Macaca mulatta: one gene and its partners. The protein of the gene in region 1 purifies or fractionates together with the protein of each later gene. This does not show direct contact. Links are inferred from orthologs where the notes say so. Each region holds a gene or a part of one and is shown on either strand. Other genes may lie near its edges. The genes, in order: NAP1L1, MAGED2, H2AX and NAP1L5.

What was found.
Region 2: the proteins of NAP1L1 (region 1) and MAGED2 purify together in Homo sapiens (affinity purification with mass spectrometry; 4 studies listed by BioGRID and IntAct, counting the BioPlex papers as one, with this or other methods). This does not show direct contact. The link is inferred for Macaca mulatta from reciprocal best matches to the Homo sapiens genes NAP1L1 and MAGED2.
Region 3: the proteins of NAP1L1 (region 1) and H2AX purify together in Homo sapiens (affinity purification with mass spectrometry; 3 studies listed by BioGRID and IntAct, counting the BioPlex papers as one, with this or other methods). This does not show direct contact. The link is inferred for Macaca mulatta from reciprocal best matches to the Homo sapiens genes NAP1L1 and H2AX.
Region 4: the proteins of NAP1L1 (region 1) and NAP1L5 purify together in Homo sapiens (affinity purification with mass spectrometry; 3 studies listed by BioGRID and IntAct, counting the BioPlex papers as one, with this or other methods). This does not show direct contact. The link is inferred for Macaca mulatta from reciprocal best matches to the Homo sapiens genes NAP1L1 and NAP1L5.

The regions. Positions count from the first base shown.
Region 1 is NC_133416.1:83,254,013-83,258,498, forward strand, and holds the start of NAP1L1 (nucleosome assembly protein 1-like 1), read right to left. Parts: upstream 3,158-4,486; 5' UTR 2,880-3,157; coding exon 2,813-2,879; exon of another isoform or gene 2,721-2,812; intron 2,554-2,720; exon of another isoform or gene 2,441-2,553; intron 1-2,440. UniProt on the Homo sapiens protein: Histone chaperone that plays a role in the nuclear import of H2A-H2B and nucleosome assembly.
Region 2 is NC_133426.1:54,646,226-54,650,596, reverse strand, and holds the start of MAGED2 (melanoma-associated antigen D2), read right to left. Parts: upstream 3,099-4,371; 5' UTR 3,027-3,098; intron 2,381-3,026; exon of another isoform or gene 2,238-2,380; intron 2,159-2,237; 5' UTR 2,130-2,158; coding exon 2,085-2,129; intron 1,745-2,084; coding exon 1,253-1,744; intron 626-1,252; coding exon 317-625; intron 197-316; coding exon 133-196; intron 1-132. UniProt on the Homo sapiens protein: Regulates the expression, localization to the plasma membrane and function of the sodium chloride cotransporters SLC12A1 and SLC12A3, two key components of salt reabsorption in the distal renal tubule.
Region 3 is NC_133419.1:119,778,572-119,782,297, reverse strand, and holds H2AX (histone H2A.x), read left to right. Parts: upstream 1-1,507; 5' UTR 1,508-1,582; coding exon 1,583-2,014; 3' UTR 2,015-3,097; downstream 3,098-3,726. Other genes in the region: HMBS (porphobilinogen deaminase), read right to left, coding at 3,696-3,726. UniProt on the Homo sapiens protein: Variant histone H2A which replaces conventional H2A in a subset of nucleosomes. Nucleosomes wrap and compact DNA into chromatin, limiting DNA accessibility to the cellular machineries which require DNA as a template.
Region 4 is NC_133410.1:98,014,933-98,019,148, forward strand, and holds NAP1L5 (nucleosome assembly protein 1-like 5), read right to left. Parts: upstream 2,566-4,216; 5' UTR 2,454-2,565; coding exon 1,905-2,453; 3' UTR 621-1,904; downstream 1-620.

The DNA of each region.
Region 1 (4,486 bases):
TAAACAAATAAAATACTGTATTTTGACATCTTCAGACCTTTTAAGTCCAACAGATACTGCTTCTGTAGCCCCTTCTACAAAAAGACCCTTAGTTTTTAACATATTTTCAGCAACTTAGAATCAACTCAGTTACCAGGAGCCAACAGGAGCAAGCTGAATAAAAAGAGATGGCACTTTGGATTACACTCGTCATGGTACAGGTATTCTTTTCAAAAATCTCATTAAAGGCCAAGTGCAGTAATTTACCATATTCGGTATTAGCTTTATAATTCTGCAAATCAATGGGCCTAATATGAAAATAGGTACTTTCTAGCAGATAAAATTTAGAAAAATATTCAAATCGGTGTACTGAAAACTTTTAAATTTCTATTTATTAATATAATGTTGACTTGGAAGGAGAATCTATGAAAGTCAGGTTTTATGATAGAAGATGTCCAAGTCCACCTACTAGGGTTTAGTTCCACATATTCTCCAAAGGATAGTATTCTTAGAACTAAACTATAGATTTAGGCCATTTATTTAAACTTGGGCAATTCGAACAAGCTTGAAACACAAGAGTGCCTTGAAAATAACTGTAAATGTCATTTATTTCCCTTTGATTTTTAAATGGTAACCCATACGTAAAAGGTTTTTCCCTTATTCAATCACAGGTCATGTGTATTACTTCCAAAGTAAATATTAATTTAAGTGAGTTAATTCCATTAACTCCAAAGTGAGTATTAATTTAAGCTGACCAAAAAAAGAGGACCCAGATACCCGTTTCCAAAGATGTTTTGAATCCACCTATTTTCAAAAGGCCAAATTTCATTTTACAGCTCTTCTGAAACCAGGGAAGCAGTGTGAATTTTTAATTGCAGCAGTGAGATACCTTAAAATGTTAGCAGTGATATTTTTAAAATGTAGTTGTTTCAGAACTGATCAGTGACCGTCTAAAATAGGGGCTCCTTGAGGACATCCTGTGCCTGGTTCATCCTTTTTGTACTCTCAAAGTCTAGCCTTCCAAGATAGGACCTCAGTCCCAGCCTCCCTACACCGCCATCCCCGAGATCTTTAGGGGAGTGGGGTTCATTGACAAGGTTGCAGGCTACAAACTTGGCTAAGTTTATACTAACACCTCATTCCATCCTACCTCCTATCTTAAAAAGGAAACAGTTTAAGTATCTTATTCTAGTGATTTAAATAAACGAACTAATTTATAAGAAAGCCAAGAACAATTAAAGTCACAAAGGGCCAAACTTTTTATTTTCATCTAAGAACCGTTTGCAGGGGTGGTCCGATCTTTTGGCTTCCCTGTGCCACATTAGAGCTGTCTTGGGCCACACGTAAAATACATTAACTAGTTGATGAGCTTTTTCAAAATAATAATAATAAAGCTTATGAATTTGTGTTGGGCCACATTTAAAGCCGTCCTGGGCCGCGGGTTGGACAAGCTTGGTTTAGGGGTTTAGATCGATTAGGGTCAATACTCCCCAAATAAAAAATCCTGATCAAGACACCCATCTAACTGTACCTGGGAAACACAACAACAACCTTTTGCTAATAACAGTTAACATAAGCGCTATATACGCGTTAACTTTTTAAAATACTAGCAGTGGAGGCCCTTCCTCATCAGCTAACATCCACAATCTCCGGTACCAATAAAAAGATTAAGACCAAAGAGAAGCAGGGAAGAGTTTGAAACCCAGGGACAGGGCTTACTAGCTTACTCTCCCTTTTCACGTTCCACGGTCTCTACAACTTTCAAAGTAAGGATAGCCCGAGGGCAAGGGTCTCCAACCAGGCCCAGCTGGTGGCCACGAAGCCCATTACCACGTGTGGAGGGAAGCCGCCGGGGGGTTTCCCCTCCCCGCGCGGCCGCCCCCAATGGGCGGAGAGCCAGGGAGCGTCGCAGTCTCCCCCGCCCCCTCCCCGCCTCGGGGCCTCGTCCCTCCACAGCCCCTCCCTCCCGTCGGAATTCGCAGCCTCCGCCGTTCTTTCATCTCCCAGCGGCCTCCCTCCTGGTATTATTTTTGGGGGAAAAGCAGGGGGGTGTCGAAAAGGCGGCCGGCTCTGCACTTGGCCCGGCCCGTACGCCGGGGGCCTCCCGGTCCCCGCGGCGCAGTCGACTCTCAGGGCACCCGGGCGTCACCGCGGCCTCGCTCCGGTACACGCGGAGAAGACGGTGGAGCTCAGAGAACCTCACGCCGCCAGGCCGCGCCAACCCCTAAGTCGCCTCAGCCGTCCCAGATAAAAGCGCTGGTCGGCCCTAGGGCCCCTCTCAGACTCCGGGGTCCAGACTCCGCGGTCCTGTCCGACCTCACAGGACGACCCCGGAGGCCCTGGGCGGCCAGCGGCCCCGACTCCCCGCTCCCAGTCCCTCTATCCCTCCGGCCCTCCCATCTGCGCAGGCCGCCCAGCGAAAACTACGTTCCCCCTTCCCTTCCAGGCCCCCATCCGTTACCGGCGGCTAGTATGGGGAGCCAGGCGGCCGGAGCTGCGCAGGCAGTGACTCAGGGCGGCAGCGGCGGCGGGAGGAGCAGGAGGCGGCGCCGCGAGCAGATGGCGCTAAAAAAGACCCAAGAGCCCGCCGCTCGCGCTCATATACAATTAGCGTCAGCACGTAGGGCCCTCTCGCCGCCCTCCCCCCGGCCTTGTAGTCTCCCAGCAACGCGAGCGAGAGGCGGGTCCAGGCCGGGTTGCCTAGCAACTGAACCGTCCTTCTTCCCCGGCGACCTCCATACCGCAGCCGAGGACTCCTGCAGACCCTAGGACTCCTGCAGCCCCGAGGCCCAGCGCCGCGCTTGGGCTCCTCTGGTTCCCGCCGGTGTCTAACCTTCTCTGTTAAGCACCCCACCATCTCTTTTCTCCCCGCTGAGCCGGAAAGGAAATCTCAACCCCATCAGTTGTGGGGAAGGCCTGGCCCGCGTGCCCGGCGCCCGGCCCGCTCCGCCCCCTTCGGCGTTGTGCTGGGAATGCTGAGGGCGGGCGCTAGTCGCCTGGTCCCTCTCTCGCCGCAGCCTAGACGGCGGGCGCTCCCTGTCAGGGCCTAATTCCTGCAACTCGCCGGCCCCCGGTAACTATTTTCCCTCCCCGTCTAAGAAAAACAGTTTTTTCCTCTAGACCACTTCGGCGGCCTCTTCTGCCTGTTTTGCTTCGAACTATGCCAGCGGGTCTCCGTGCCTTTAGGGGGTGCTCGTCATCCTTAGCTCCCCATCCCCCCGCCACATACTTGTACCTGATGTACAGTCCCTTCAGTTCTTTTGACGGATGAAAATGGCATATTTGTGCATTCTCTGGATGCGTTGTAATGAGGACATTCAGTATGTCTGTTGTTTCATCTTTCTGAAAAAGTAAATCGCATTAAATCCTCAGGCTTGTAAAACCTCATAACTAATTTTCAAGTGATGATGAATTGACTAACATTAACTCAAAAAGTTGTTCTCAGAATATGGTCTGAGGGTCCCCAGACCCTTTCAAAAGGAAGGTCAAAACTATTTCCATATTAATGTCAAGACTGTCTTTTGCATTCTCATTCTCTCACAAGTGTACAGTGGGGTTTTCCGGAGGCTATGTGACATGTGATAAGGAAACAGACTGAAAATAGAAGCAGATAGGAGAATCCAGTCATCTGCGGTTAAACCAGACGTTAAAGAGATTTGCAAAAACTCGATTTGGGGGCAAGAGGGAGTAGTTATTTTTCTTTTTTCTTTTTTTTTTTTTTTTTTTTTTTTTTTTTGAGAGGGAGTCTCGCTCTGTCGCCCAGGCTGGAGTGCAGTAGCACGATCACGGCTCGCTGCAAGCTCCGCCTCCTGGGTTCAAGCCATTCTCCTGCCTCAGCCTCCCAAGTAGCTGGGACTACAGGCACCCGCCACCACGCCTGGCTAATTTTTCGTATTTTTAGTAGAAACAGGGTTTCACCGTGTTAGCCACGATGGTCTCGCCTGACCTCGTGATCCGCCCGGCTCAGCCTCCCAAAGTGCTGAGATTACAGGTGTGAGCCACCTCACCGGGCCTATTTTTCATATAAAAAATTATTTTTGTTAATATTTGATTGCTTTATTGTTTTTAAATGAAATACTCTTAAAATTTCTCACTTTTAATTTCTGACATAAGTATCAGTATCAATAATGCACATAAAAGTTCTTTGGGGTCCTCAACTTTTAAAGGAGTGTAAAGGAATCCTAAGACTACAAAGTTTGAGAACCTGTTCTCTAAATCTTACATTTCTTGAAACTTCAAACTGCCTAGAATCCCCTGTTGTAATCCACACATTTAACAGCTGTATCTTCCATTTGAGGGGATACGATGTTTTCCTTGGCGCTCCAGAACCTCATTGAAATTAATTGCCTTTCCCACTCTACACTGCAGATGCCTCTGTTTATTCATTCATTTTAGTTTTTCATATACAATTCCTTTGTTGTTCTCAGAGCCTGTTCCTATACACCCTTCTCAACACTGATGTAATGCTAACAAGGAGCGTAATAGCATCAATAATGGATCTTCAGGA
Region 2 (4,371 bases), on another chromosome or scaffold:
GCTAGCACCGCCAAATTAGAACTTTGGGAGGACAGAGATATAAGCATAAGAGCAGCAGATATCCCCAGCACAATGATGCAAGGGCAATGGAGGGCAGAGCTTAGGGTAGAGGGAGGATTGGTAGGACTTTACCTGAGCGCTTGATGGGAATCTTCGTCTGGTCTTTAGCCAAAAGGTACTTCACCAAATCATTTGCCTGGCAGAGTAGAAAAAGATGGAAAGACCAAAACAAGTTTGCTGAAAACTTGAGACGATGGCAAAGAAAAGGGCAGCCAAGGCAGTAGAAAAGGCAGAGTAAAAAGGACAGAGTTCTTACCCTCCCTTGCAAAAGGGCCACATCCCGAGGTGGTGGTGCTTCAGGCTCTTGGGATGACTGGAGCTTGGCAGCTCTACGGCGAGCCTTGCCCCTACGGGCTTTAGGTGATCTCAGGGAGAGCAAGGCTCTCCGGGCCCAAGCAGCCAACCGAGTCCTTGATGCCCTGCGGGCCCAAAAAGCTATGGGACCCCTTGAAGCCCTGCGGGCCATTGAGGCCATTAGGGCCTTTGAGACCCTTCGGCCACCTGTGGTTCCAGAAGCCTGACTCTGATCACTGCTGCCATCCTCTTCCCCATCCAGATGCTTCACCTGCATCAACAGAAGCTCAACATCACCAGATGAAACAGGTGGTCCTTTTCCTCTCCCTATCTCTTCCAGGAAGCACCCGCCAATCCCGTCCCTGTAGTAACAGCCTGACTTAATAGATGTTGGCTATGCTGAACCCTGGGTTTGTTTCTCACTGACTTCCAAGCAAGTGTTTCATCTGCCTAGCAAGCCAGGAGCAAACCAAGGGTGGGTGGAGGCTGAGTCTTCTTCTCTTTCTGTGCCCACTACTGGCTCTGCTTGAACCATCCCTAGAAAAACTGCTTCACCTCTCTGGAACTCAGCTTCCTTCTCTATAAAATTGGGGCTATGAGAATTACTTTCAGGATTTAATGAGATAACCTGCATAAATGTGCTTAGCTCAAGGCCTAACACAGGGCAGCTACTATGTAAATATAAACTGCATTATATTCAGATTGCAGCTATGTGTATTCCTGTCTCATCTCCCCATCAGTCTGCAAGCTCTCTGAAGACAAGAATTACATCACATTACTTTCAGTGCCCCCCACAGCCCTGATGAGCACAGGGATCTTTCTAAATGTTTGTAGAACAAATGAACCAACTGAGAGGAGAGGAGTAGAAAACGAAGGGTGGTGACTGCAGAGGTCTTACCTTTCGGGCTTTCTTGGCTTTGACCTTGGGCCGAGTATCCTGATTCTCCTGAGACTGGGCAGCTGCACTCTCAGGCTCAGGTTCATCTGCTGGGGCCTGAGAGGCAGCAGCCTCAGTCTCCTGGGCCTTAGTATTGACCTTCGTATCAGCCACACAGCTGACCTTTTTGGTCTCGGTGGCAGGCATTGTCACAGCCTGCGGGTCAGCATTCTGTTTCTTGGTGTCAGCTGCTAGACTCTTGTTTTCAGCTGCCAGAACCTGGGTATCAGTCAGCTGAGTAGTAGATGAGGCCTGGGTGGCAGGTGCCTCCTGAGCCTCTGGGGTCTTTGAGACCTCTGTGGCCTTTGGGACCCCAGAGGTTTTTGAGACCTTCACATCCTCTGAGACCTCCGGTGCCTTTGAGGCCTTCGGTGTCTCTGGGACCTCCACATTCTGGGTCACTGTCAATAGAGTCTGCATCATCGAGCTACTGTCCTTTTCTGAAGCTTCAGCCTGCAAGAGGAAGCAGGGAAGTTCACAGACCTTCTCCCCACCCCCAACTAAGCAAATGGTTCCAAAATTCCAAGGCCACACTTCTCTGACCTGTACTCGTACCTGCGGTGTGCTCTGACCACCTCAGCCGAACAAGGCCTCCCTTTCCTCTGAGCAAGAACTGAAGGCAGAAGAGGGGCCCGCCCACCTTCTCTCCCTCCCTCCACTGGGCAGGGGGACACCCAGGCAGGAAAGTAGGTGGAGAAGGACAAGGATGGGAGGGGAAGAGCCAAGGGACTTAGGGCAGCAACAAGGGCTGGAGAGGAAAAGCAGCTGGGGAAAGGACAGAAAGAGGCCTTACCTGGAAGCTAGTTAGACCCGCACCACTCTCGCTTGTGTCAGACATGTCTCAATTTGGCCTGGCAAGAGCTGAGCCTGAAGAGGAGAAGGCCTGGGTCAAGTTGAAGCCCACTGAACGTCCTCTCCCCTGTTGTGCCTGGAGGCTGATCCTTACCTTCCGTAGGTCCCCAATTCCAACCCCCTCCACCACCCACAACGACTCCGTTCTCAGATACAGGAATCCAAAGCTTCTAAGTCTCAATTGTCTGCAGCCGCACCCTCCCCTTCTCCAGGAAGATGTGCCAGCGCGGCAGCTCTGAGGACCCCGCCCCTTTTCCCAGTGCACCCCCCACCCAGCCGCAGGTCGATAGAGCGCATGCGCGTCGGCTGCAGGGCCGTTCTCAGCCCCGCCCGCTTTCCCAGCACGAGCCCTTTCTTTGATGTCCACCGTGCACATGCGCATTCAGCAGCTGGCTCGTCTCAGCGCTGGCCCTTCTCAACACGCCCCTTTCAGCGATACATAGTGCGCATGCGCAATGATCGTGGTCTCAGTCTGGCACTCTGCCCCGACACACGCCCCTCTCCAGGTCCGCAGTACCATTCGGTCCCGCCCCCTGCCCAAGAAGCCTTCCTCCAAAATTGTCGCAGTGTCTGGTGGGCCCGGCCCCTCCCCTACTCACGCCCTACCGAGTCCAGTGTCTCTTGGCCCCGCCCTTCTTCCTAACACGCCCCCCTCCAAACAGGCGCATCTTGGTTCCGCCCCTTCCCTATTACACCCCCTCCTCAAATAAATATTGAGCTAGTGATTCCATCTTGGGCCCGGTCAAACCGGGTCCAGTCCCCTCCCTTCCCAGCCGGATGGATCCGGTACGATCCGATCCTCATGACAGGTTTTCTCCAGATCCCAGAGGGTGCGGCCGACCCCTAGCGGGGCTCTCATCCAAAAGCCCGCCCGGCTGCTCACCTCGTCCTCCTACAATTCCCGAGAGCGTCCACTCACTCCAAGCCCCTCCGAAACTCAGAGACTGCCCTCCCTTCTCTAGGCCGGAAGTGGTCCCGCCCCTTTCCGCCTCCCTAGGGGGCCTCCGTCCCAGCCTGTCTGCCCCTCCCCCGCTCCCTGCTCCTCATTCCTTATGCCCCCCTCCGTATTCCCTTAGCCTGGCTCCTTACTCCCTATTCCCACCTCACATTTTCTATTTACTCCAGAATTCCCTCTTCCCATTCCTTACATCCTCCTCCGTGTTACGATTGCACACCCTGCCCCTCAGTATTCCTTAACCCCTCTCTGCATCCCCATTCTCTTCTCTGGATCACTCCCCCTTAGTGTTCCCCTCCCTCCTTGTATTCCTCGTCCCCCTCCCAACATTCCTGGTTCCCCGTTTTTCTCCCCTCCTCCTCCGCTCGTCTCTGCTCCCAGTCTATACAGCCTACCACTTTCTCAGTCGTCCTCATTGCCTACACACCACTCCAGGTCACCTCTGCTTCAGCTGCAGTGGTGCAGTAAGAATTGCTCATCTGCCTGGCTATGGGTTCGAGGGGTCTGGAACCACTCTATGACCTCCATAAAACCCCAATCTCAACGCACCTCACCTTGTCCTCCAGCGAGTTCGGGATGCGTCTGCCTTCTCTAAGTCCCTCTCGAAGTCTCAGCCTCCTGGACTAGAGCTGCAGACAGCCCAACCCAGCCCAGCCCCTTTCCGCAGCCCCCTGCCACCCCCCCTCGCCTTCCTCGGGGGTGGGGCAATGGGGCCCTGCTCAGGGCTGTCTGACGCCAAAGCCCATGTTTATGCCACTGTACCAGGCTCAGTCTGAAACTCTTCCAACCCAAACCGCCTCCGAAAGAAAGTCATTCATTGAATTTATTTTTATATCTTCATTTTTTCTTATTACAAAGGTAATATGTTGTTGTTTTGTTGTTGTTGTTGTAAAAATTAAAACAATGCAGTAATATATAACATACCAATGAAAGGCCACTCTTATCTCCCAGAAATAACCACTATTAACATTTTGCTATCCAGATTTTTTTTCTATTCGTATACTAATTATTCAGGTTCTCTCTCCGACAAATGGTACACTATACATACCTTCTGTTCTGCGACCTGTTTTTTTCCAGTTATATATAAAAAATCTTTCCGTTAGTGCACATTTTTCTAAACAGTTGCATGATCTTTTCTTGTATAGATGTCCCATAATTTATTGAACCAGTCCAGTACACATGTACATTTAGATTGTTTGGGGCACTTTTTTTTTATTTAGGGTATTTTTTGCTAGCTCAAATGCTACAAAAACGTCTTCCATTTTGATAACAA
Region 3 (3,726 bases), on another chromosome or scaffold:
TTGTCCTTTACCTCACAGTCTCTAGGATTCCTGACTCAGGCTGACCTCTCTCTGGTCCCAGACTGCCTCCTTGCCCAGGCCTCTCTCACTCTTCATACTCTTCCAGATTTTGTTCTCAGCATTTTCTTTTCCCTGTGATCACTGGCATCCTGGGCGTTTCTTGCCCCCTACTGTCTACTGATTGGATTTTACTTATGACTTTCTGCAACTTGCTACTCTCCCTCTCCATCCTGTCTTTGCAGCCTCACAGGGTGGGATACAGAAGTTTTTTTTTTGCAGTTATCCACAGTCACATTTCAGAGTCCTGACTCTCAAGGAACTACTGGTTTTTGGGATAGAACTTGGGCCAGGGCTAGGGACACAGGCTCCACAGTGACCTGTTATTTGATTGTAAATTAAGTGTTCTGATTAGTAAGAAGTAAGCAGGGGGCCACATGCTCTCAATGGAGACAATAAAGTGTTGTCTATTTCTTATTGTTCCTGTAGGTATATTTCCTATATGGGCATTTTTGGGTGGATTGGGAGGGTAGGTGGGGGTACTTCCTCCAACAGGATGCCTATCTCTCTGCCCCACCAGACCCCGTCTAACAAGAAGTGAACAGAACTGAGACCAAACAGAACATATTGAATAAACATTTAAATCCTGATACTTCAGGTGGCATGGAGGGCCACAAAATTGAAGTTATCCTGTTTCCTGGCATGGGGTCAAACTTTCAAAGACACCAGGTACAGTGGCTCATGCCTGTAATCCCAGCACTTTAGGAGGCCGAGGCAGGAGGATTGCCTGAGCTCAGGAATTCAAGACAGCCTGGGCAACAAAACGAGACTCCGTCTCTACAAAAATAAATAATTAGCCCACTGTAGTGGAGCATTTGTAGTACCATCTACTCGGGAGGTTAAGCAGGAAGGATCCCTTGAGCCCAGGAGTCCGAGGCTTGCAGTGAGCTGAGATCACACCACTGCACTCCAGCCTGGGTGACAGCAAGCAAGACCTGGTCTATTAAAAACAAGAAAGAAAAGAAAGAAAGAAAAAGAAAACTTTAAGGGGTCTAATTTCTTCCCTTTTCCATTCTCCCTTTGTCAGGTAGGAGAAGGGAGTGTGGAGTGACCGGACCTGGAAAGGGTAGCTATAGTATTGACCCCTTTCCTTTAAACATCCTACGCCAGCACAGATTTCCCAGACGCTCTCTAGGTGGCCTCAGACTCCACCCCTTTTGTCTTCCGGTTCTGCCTTCCGACTGTAGTGTTTAAATCTCGCGCGCTTTACAAGGATTGGCTACATAAGCGGGTGTTTGGCCGTCTGCGTGCTACCCCGCCTCCTCGCCTTTTCTCCCCGGGCAAAAGGTTTTCAAATTCGACCAATCAGCGCGCGCTCCCTCAGCCGAGGCGCGACACCCAAGGGTTAACCGCAACCAACCGGAGGCGGGTATTGGAGAAAAGAGCCAATCAGGAGGGCGCAGAGGTGTGTCCTGGGGGCTTATAAAGGCGGCCTCACGGCGCGCGCGCGACAGCAGTTACACTGCGGCGGGCTTCTGTTGGGGTGTCTCTGAACCGTTGTACTTCACCGGTCTACCTCGCTAGCATGTCGGGCCGCGGCAAGACTGGCGGCAAGGCCCGCGCCAAGGCCAAGTCGCGCTCGTCGCGCGCCGGCCTCCAGTTCCCAGTGGGCCGTGTACACCGGCTGCTGCGGAAGGGCCACTACGCCGAGCGCGTTGGCGCCGGCGCGCCCGTGTACCTGGCGGCAGTGCTGGAGTACCTCACCGCTGAGATCCTGGAGCTGGCGGGCAATGCGGCCCGCGACAACAAGAAGACGCGAATCATCCCCCGCCACCTGCAGCTGGCCATCCGCAACGACGAGGAGCTCAACAAGCTGCTGGGCGGCGTGACGATCGCCCAGGGAGGCGTCCTGCCCAACATCCAGGCCGTGCTGTTGCCCAAGAAGACCAGCGCCACCGTGGGGCCGAAGGCGCCCTCGGGCGGCAAGAAGGCCACCCAGGCCTCCCAGGAGTACTAAGAGGGCCCGCGCCGCGGCCGGCCGCCAGGCCTCCCCATGCCACCACAAAGGCCCTTTTAAGGGCCACCACCGCCCTCATGGAAAGAGCTGAGCCACTTCAGACTGCGGGGCAAGCGGGCCGCGGCTCCCGGCTCCTTTCCCCTCCCATCGCCCGCCTTTGCCGCCCGGCCTCGAGTCCCCGCCCGCCCCCCTCCTGGCCTGCACCGCCTGCCGCGTCGGCCTCGGGCCCTGCCCCATCCGCCGGCCGCCCTCCGGTAGGGCTCGGGCCCTCTGGACGCGGCTTGGGCACTCTTCGGGGACCACCGTGGCGCGGAGGACCCGAGCCTGCCGGGGGGAGGCCGGCGGCGCCGCACCTGCTCGCCTCGGCGCTCGTGACTCAGCCAGCTGCCCCATCCTGAGTCGCTGAGGGGCTGCGGGGAGGCCGCAGCACCTTCTGGAAGACTTGGCCTTCCGCTCTGACGCAGGGCCGAGGTGGGCAGTCCAGGCCGAGAGGCCGGCGGCCCTGAAGGTGAGTGAGGCCCTCGGCAGCTGCAGCCAGGGTGTCCGGCACTCCCCCGGCGTGGTGCTTAGCCCAGGACTTTCAGACGTGGCCGCTGGCCTGGAGGCTTTGGTGGGAGAGACACGATCGCTGGTTTCGGTCTGGCGCCCCCTCTGCGGCCGGGACCCAGGCCTTTCACATCAGATCTCCCTCCATCTTCATTCATAGGTCTGCGCTGGGGCCGGGACGAAGCACTTGGTAACAGGCACATCTTCCTCCCGAGTGACTGCCTCCTACGAGGACATTTAGGGGAGGGCAGAGGCCTGCAGTTTGGCTTCACGGCTGGCTATGTGGACAGCAAGAGTCGTTTTCGCGGAAGCCGACTGGCAGCCAAGCCTGTCGGGCCTCCCCATTTCCCTTCCAGCAAACTCAACTCGGCAATCCAAGCACCTAGATACCAGCACAAGTCGGTTAATCCCTGTCTGGACTGAGCCTCCGTTGGCTTCCGAACTGGAATTTTGCAGCTAACCCTTCCAAGACTAGAACCTTAGGCATTGGGGAGTTTTAGATGAACTAATTTTATTAAAGGATTGTTTTTCTAAAAATGGAGCATTTGTTTTCATTTTGCAAGAGAGTTGTAGGATTAGTGACTTTCTATACTTTCCTGATAGTGGGGGTGGGAGGGGCATGCAATATAAATAGGCTCTACTGTTAACCGAAGAAGGAGCAAACCATAGGAATTTAAGATTATGGCTCTGTTTCTTGGTGTTCCTGCGAGACAATTTATTCTGTGTGAAATGAAAACTATTGAGGCAGAAGCAGAAAGGATGTACCAGGAGAACTTTGGGCAAAAGTCCCAGCCTCCGAGGTAAGGATGAAAGGGCTTTGTGTTTGTTCATATCTTCCCGCCAACCCCCCCCCACACACACACACAAAAACACCTTCAGAGCTGGTTTATTAGTAGAGTTGGTTACATTCAAAGGCTGTGGCTTGGACTTCTCTAAAGAGATGAAGCCCCCACATACTGAGGAGGCAAGGCAGTCATCAAGGCCCCAAACTGAGGCAAATCCCCGGAAGGCTTGAACCCTGCAGTTCAGTCTTCTGAGGTAATCACTCCCCAGACAGCAGTGAGAATGGGGCACTGAGGGCCGGGATGTAGGCACTGGACAGCAGCAACCGAGGCATCTGTGCCCCACAGACCAGTTAATGGGCATCGTTAAGCTGCCGTGCAACA
Region 4 (4,216 bases), on another chromosome or scaffold:
TTTTAACCCTGCAGGGAAAATGAAGCAAATGGCATCTGATTTTTTAATTTTTTTGGAGTCCAGTTTTTTAAAAAAACTCTGCTTCATTCAGAATGAAGCAAACAAAGTTGAAATAGCCTTTTTTGTATATTTTTAATGTTATATTGAAGTCTTTTATCCTTTCTGGGAGATAATAAAAACTTGATATTATGTTGAGGAAACCAAAACAAGATAGTTTATTTAATTTCCTGTGTTTCTGAATTAAAGGCCACATTCTTCTCTCATAATAAGGAATCAGAAACATGGGAAGGCATTGATGTAGTGATGTCCATTTCTCCCATTTTGTAACAGGAGAGAAGGAGGATTGAATTTCCAATCACTGTCTTTATCTTTCATGTAATAATAATAGCTAAGAATTATTCAGCGCTTACCATGGTTTGGATGCTATTCTATAGGCGTTATATGTATTAATCCATTTGCTCTTCATAGTAACCCATGAGGAAGGGACTATTCCTATTCCCTTTTGTAGATGAGGAGAAATTGAGCACTGAGAGTATTAGCTGAGTTGCCTAAGGTACATTACTAATAGGAGGCAGAGCTGGGATTTGAATACAGGCAGTCAGAGTACCGAGACTTTTATATTTATTTTTTTGAAAATACTGTTTTATTAACACCACAGTGGTAAACATCTTTAAGCTTATGTTTCTTTATAGATCACTGGCTCACACATAATTCAAAACCCACACAGAAGCTAAGAGTCTTTACATTAAATATATTCTTCCTAAAAATCCTTACTGTATGCGTCTGTCCTCAAGCAGTAAAATTTGATTATGCACCATTTTATAATATGTCACATTTACATAGCAAAATAATGAAGGCACAGCTAATACAAGCAAACTTAAATCCTTTCTACTTCTGAGCTGGGGGTAGGGGCACACACTTGGATTGGTTCTTCAAGTATGTATTTTTTCCAAACATTAGCTTCAGTGAAGAGTTCTGATGATTTTCACAGCTACACCCTAAAAGCTACATGACAGAAAGACGTCACAAGGATCAAAGTACATAACACTGGATACACATGCTTTACAGAATTTGCTACATTCTACATCTCTTCAAGTAAATTAATATTTCTAAAACACTAGGTAAAGTGATTTAATACTTAAACATATTTGGGGTATTTTTTACGTCTTTGTAAATAGACACTACTAAGAAAACACAAACATGAGATTGTAACTAATGAATACATATGTTGACAGTATTTTACAGGTTTTACACCCTCCTTCTTGGAACCATGTTATTCTCTAAATTCAAATACTCAAACATTTTTCAGAACTTGAAATGGCAGTTTTCCTGGCCTTATTAACAGTAGTGTCATGATCTCCATTGCAGTCTTCCTCAGTGCCATCAATCTCCTGTGAAGTGTAAAGCTGATGTCTGCGTTACAAAAGCAAAGTCTCAAAGATGACGTTTTTCTTGGGGTCTGCCTTCTCTGCACAGCGAAATGTCATGAGTAAAGAAATTTAAGAATTAAGCACTGAAAACGTGTTCAGTCATGGCCTGGGTATTCCATGTGTAGCGTATGCTGTGTTATGAATGGGTTTCAAAGTGACGTTCTTTACTTCGCATCTACTAACACCCTTTGTAAACCTCAATCCTCATAGAAGAGACCATGAAAACATAATTTTGGGTTTAATTCGGTTTTCTTTAACACCTTTTGATATATTTATTATGTTCAAAATGAAAAATTTGAATCGAGCTGGCCAGGATCTAATTGCTTCAATTTAATCTATTTTAGGAATGTCAGAATAAATTCACATTGTATTTTGGTCAAAAACCTGAGCCTTTTTAAGTCCACCAATATTCTGGGAAAAACAAAACCAAGCTGTTTTCTTCGTGGGCTTTCTCTTCATCCATCTCTGCCCCCCTTACTTCTTGGCGTCATCAGGCATCTCGGCGTGGGCATCGTCATGTTTGGCCCCCGCGGCAGCCTCTGCTGCAGCATCCTCCTCCTCCTCCTCTTCCCCCTCCTCCTCGTCATCCTCGTACTCCTCTTCCTCCTCCTCCTCCCCCTCCAAGGTCCATGCACACCCCTCCATCTCGCCGGTGAGCTCTTGGATCTTGGCGAGTAGGGGCTTATATATGTCATTATACTTTTTTTCCAGAGCCTGAAATTCCTTATCAAATTTGGCTTCTATCTTATCGCATCGCTTCTGCAGCTTTTTGAGGGCCAGGACTCGGCATTTCACCGAATTAGGCAGGCTCTCGATAAAGTCATTTTTCGGCTTTGGGGCATTCTCTGCAGGGGTCTGGGGCTCCTCAGCCATCTGACCAGCCGCGCTGTCAGGGTCTCCAGCCGCGCTGTCACAGTCTCCACCCTGCGCACCGCCTTCCGCCATTACCTCCTCCGCCGCTGCCTCCGCCGCTGCCGCCGCCTGGCTAGGCTCCGCAGGCCCCTGGTTTTCCGAGTCGGCCATGTTAGAGGAGAAGCCGCAGAGGTCTAGGAGGGATCCCGCAGAGGCCCTGCACCCGAGCTGGTCCAGAGAGATCTTGCGGATGCGGCAAGTGGCGGTGACGCGCGGCAGCGGGAATGACGTCGGCCGCGGCCCCGCCCCCTGCTTTTGCGGCACTTGACTGGCTCCCCACTATCAGCTGACGGCCGTGCGCTCATACTGCACCAGATTCCTCCTGTTGCTACCCTGACGTCTCCTGGGCCCTCAACACCAGCCTGTTGGACAGACACCCTGTTCCCAGCCCACCCATGTACCCACCCCCTGTAGAGCTGGGCTGGGAGTGTCAGTGGCTGCCCGAGGTGCTGCTTCAGGAACTGCGTAGATGGCCTCAGCCCGTTTTCCCTGTGCTCCTCACCGCCATCCAGGCCCTTCTACAAATGCTAGTACATATGTCTTCGCTTACCTCTGCATCTCTCTCCATAGCTGGCATTTGATCACCTCTTAGATTCCTCCACATTCCTCTCCAGGCAGTGGAGGAACGGGCAAGCTGGCTCCATTCTACCCTTTTGGGGACCTGGGGAGCATATGTGTGGATAGGGCAGCTTGCATATCCAAGCTCTGTACCCGTGTGTCTACCCAACACCCCCTTGGCCATCCCACACACCTGGCGACACATACCCTGGTGGCAAGGTTGTCTCTCAGCAGGACACCCCTGGAAGCAGTTTTGGAGTCATTTGGGTAGGAAATCTCAGAGCTCCCAGTGTCCTGGTGTGTGTTCTAGAAGGTTCTACAGAATCTTTGGCCTGTGGGAAGTACTAAAGCTTGAGGAGGGCTGAAAAAAAGCAAGTCTCTCTAAATCATGGGGCCCAGGGCCAAGGCCCCCTCTTATCTTGGTTAAAGCGTGTGCCATCTATCCCACCCTGCTCACTTTCGTCTTCCCGGGCTTCCCCCAACACCATCTGCTTTCCTGCCTTCCCCATTATCTGTTTTCACACCTTTCCTTGCCACCATCTTCTCCCTCCCTCCTGCCCCTCCCCCGCACTGTGTTATGCCCCACCTTCTGCCCATCTTCTTCCCCCCTTCTTCCCCACTCACTGCCTTCTTCCTCACCTTCTCTCCTCCCCGCACTGTCCTTTTCCCCACCCCTTCACCCTCTTCTTCCCCACCCTCCTCACCCTCTTCTTCCCCACCCTCCTCACCCTCTTCTTCCCCACTCACTGCCTTCTTTCTCACCTCCCCCGCCCCCGCACTGTCCTTTTCCTCACCCTCCTCATCCTCCTCTTCTTCACTCACTGCCTTCTTTCTCACCTCCCCTCCACCACTGTCCTTTTTCTCACCCTCCTCACCCTCTTCTTCCCCACCCTCCTCACCCTCTTCTTCCCCACTCACTGCCTTCTTCCTCACCTTCCCCCCACCCGCGCCCTTTTTCCTCATTCTCCTCACTCTTTTCTTCCCCACCCTCTTCACCCTCTTCTTCCCCATCTTCCTCACCCTCTTCTTCCCCATCTACCTCACCCTCTTCTTCCCCTCCCCCAGTCCCACCCTCTTCCCACCTACCCACCCCCACCTCACCCACCCACCCAGCCCCACCGTCTTCTTCCCCACCCACCCACCCAGCCCCACCGTCTTCTTCCCCACCCACCCACCCAGCCCCACCGTCTACTTCCCCACCCACCCACCCAGCCCCACCGTCTTCTTCCCCACCCACCCACCCAGCCCCACCGTCTTCTTCCCCACCCACCCACCCAGCCCCACCGTCTTCTTCCCCACCCTCTATCTTCTTCCCC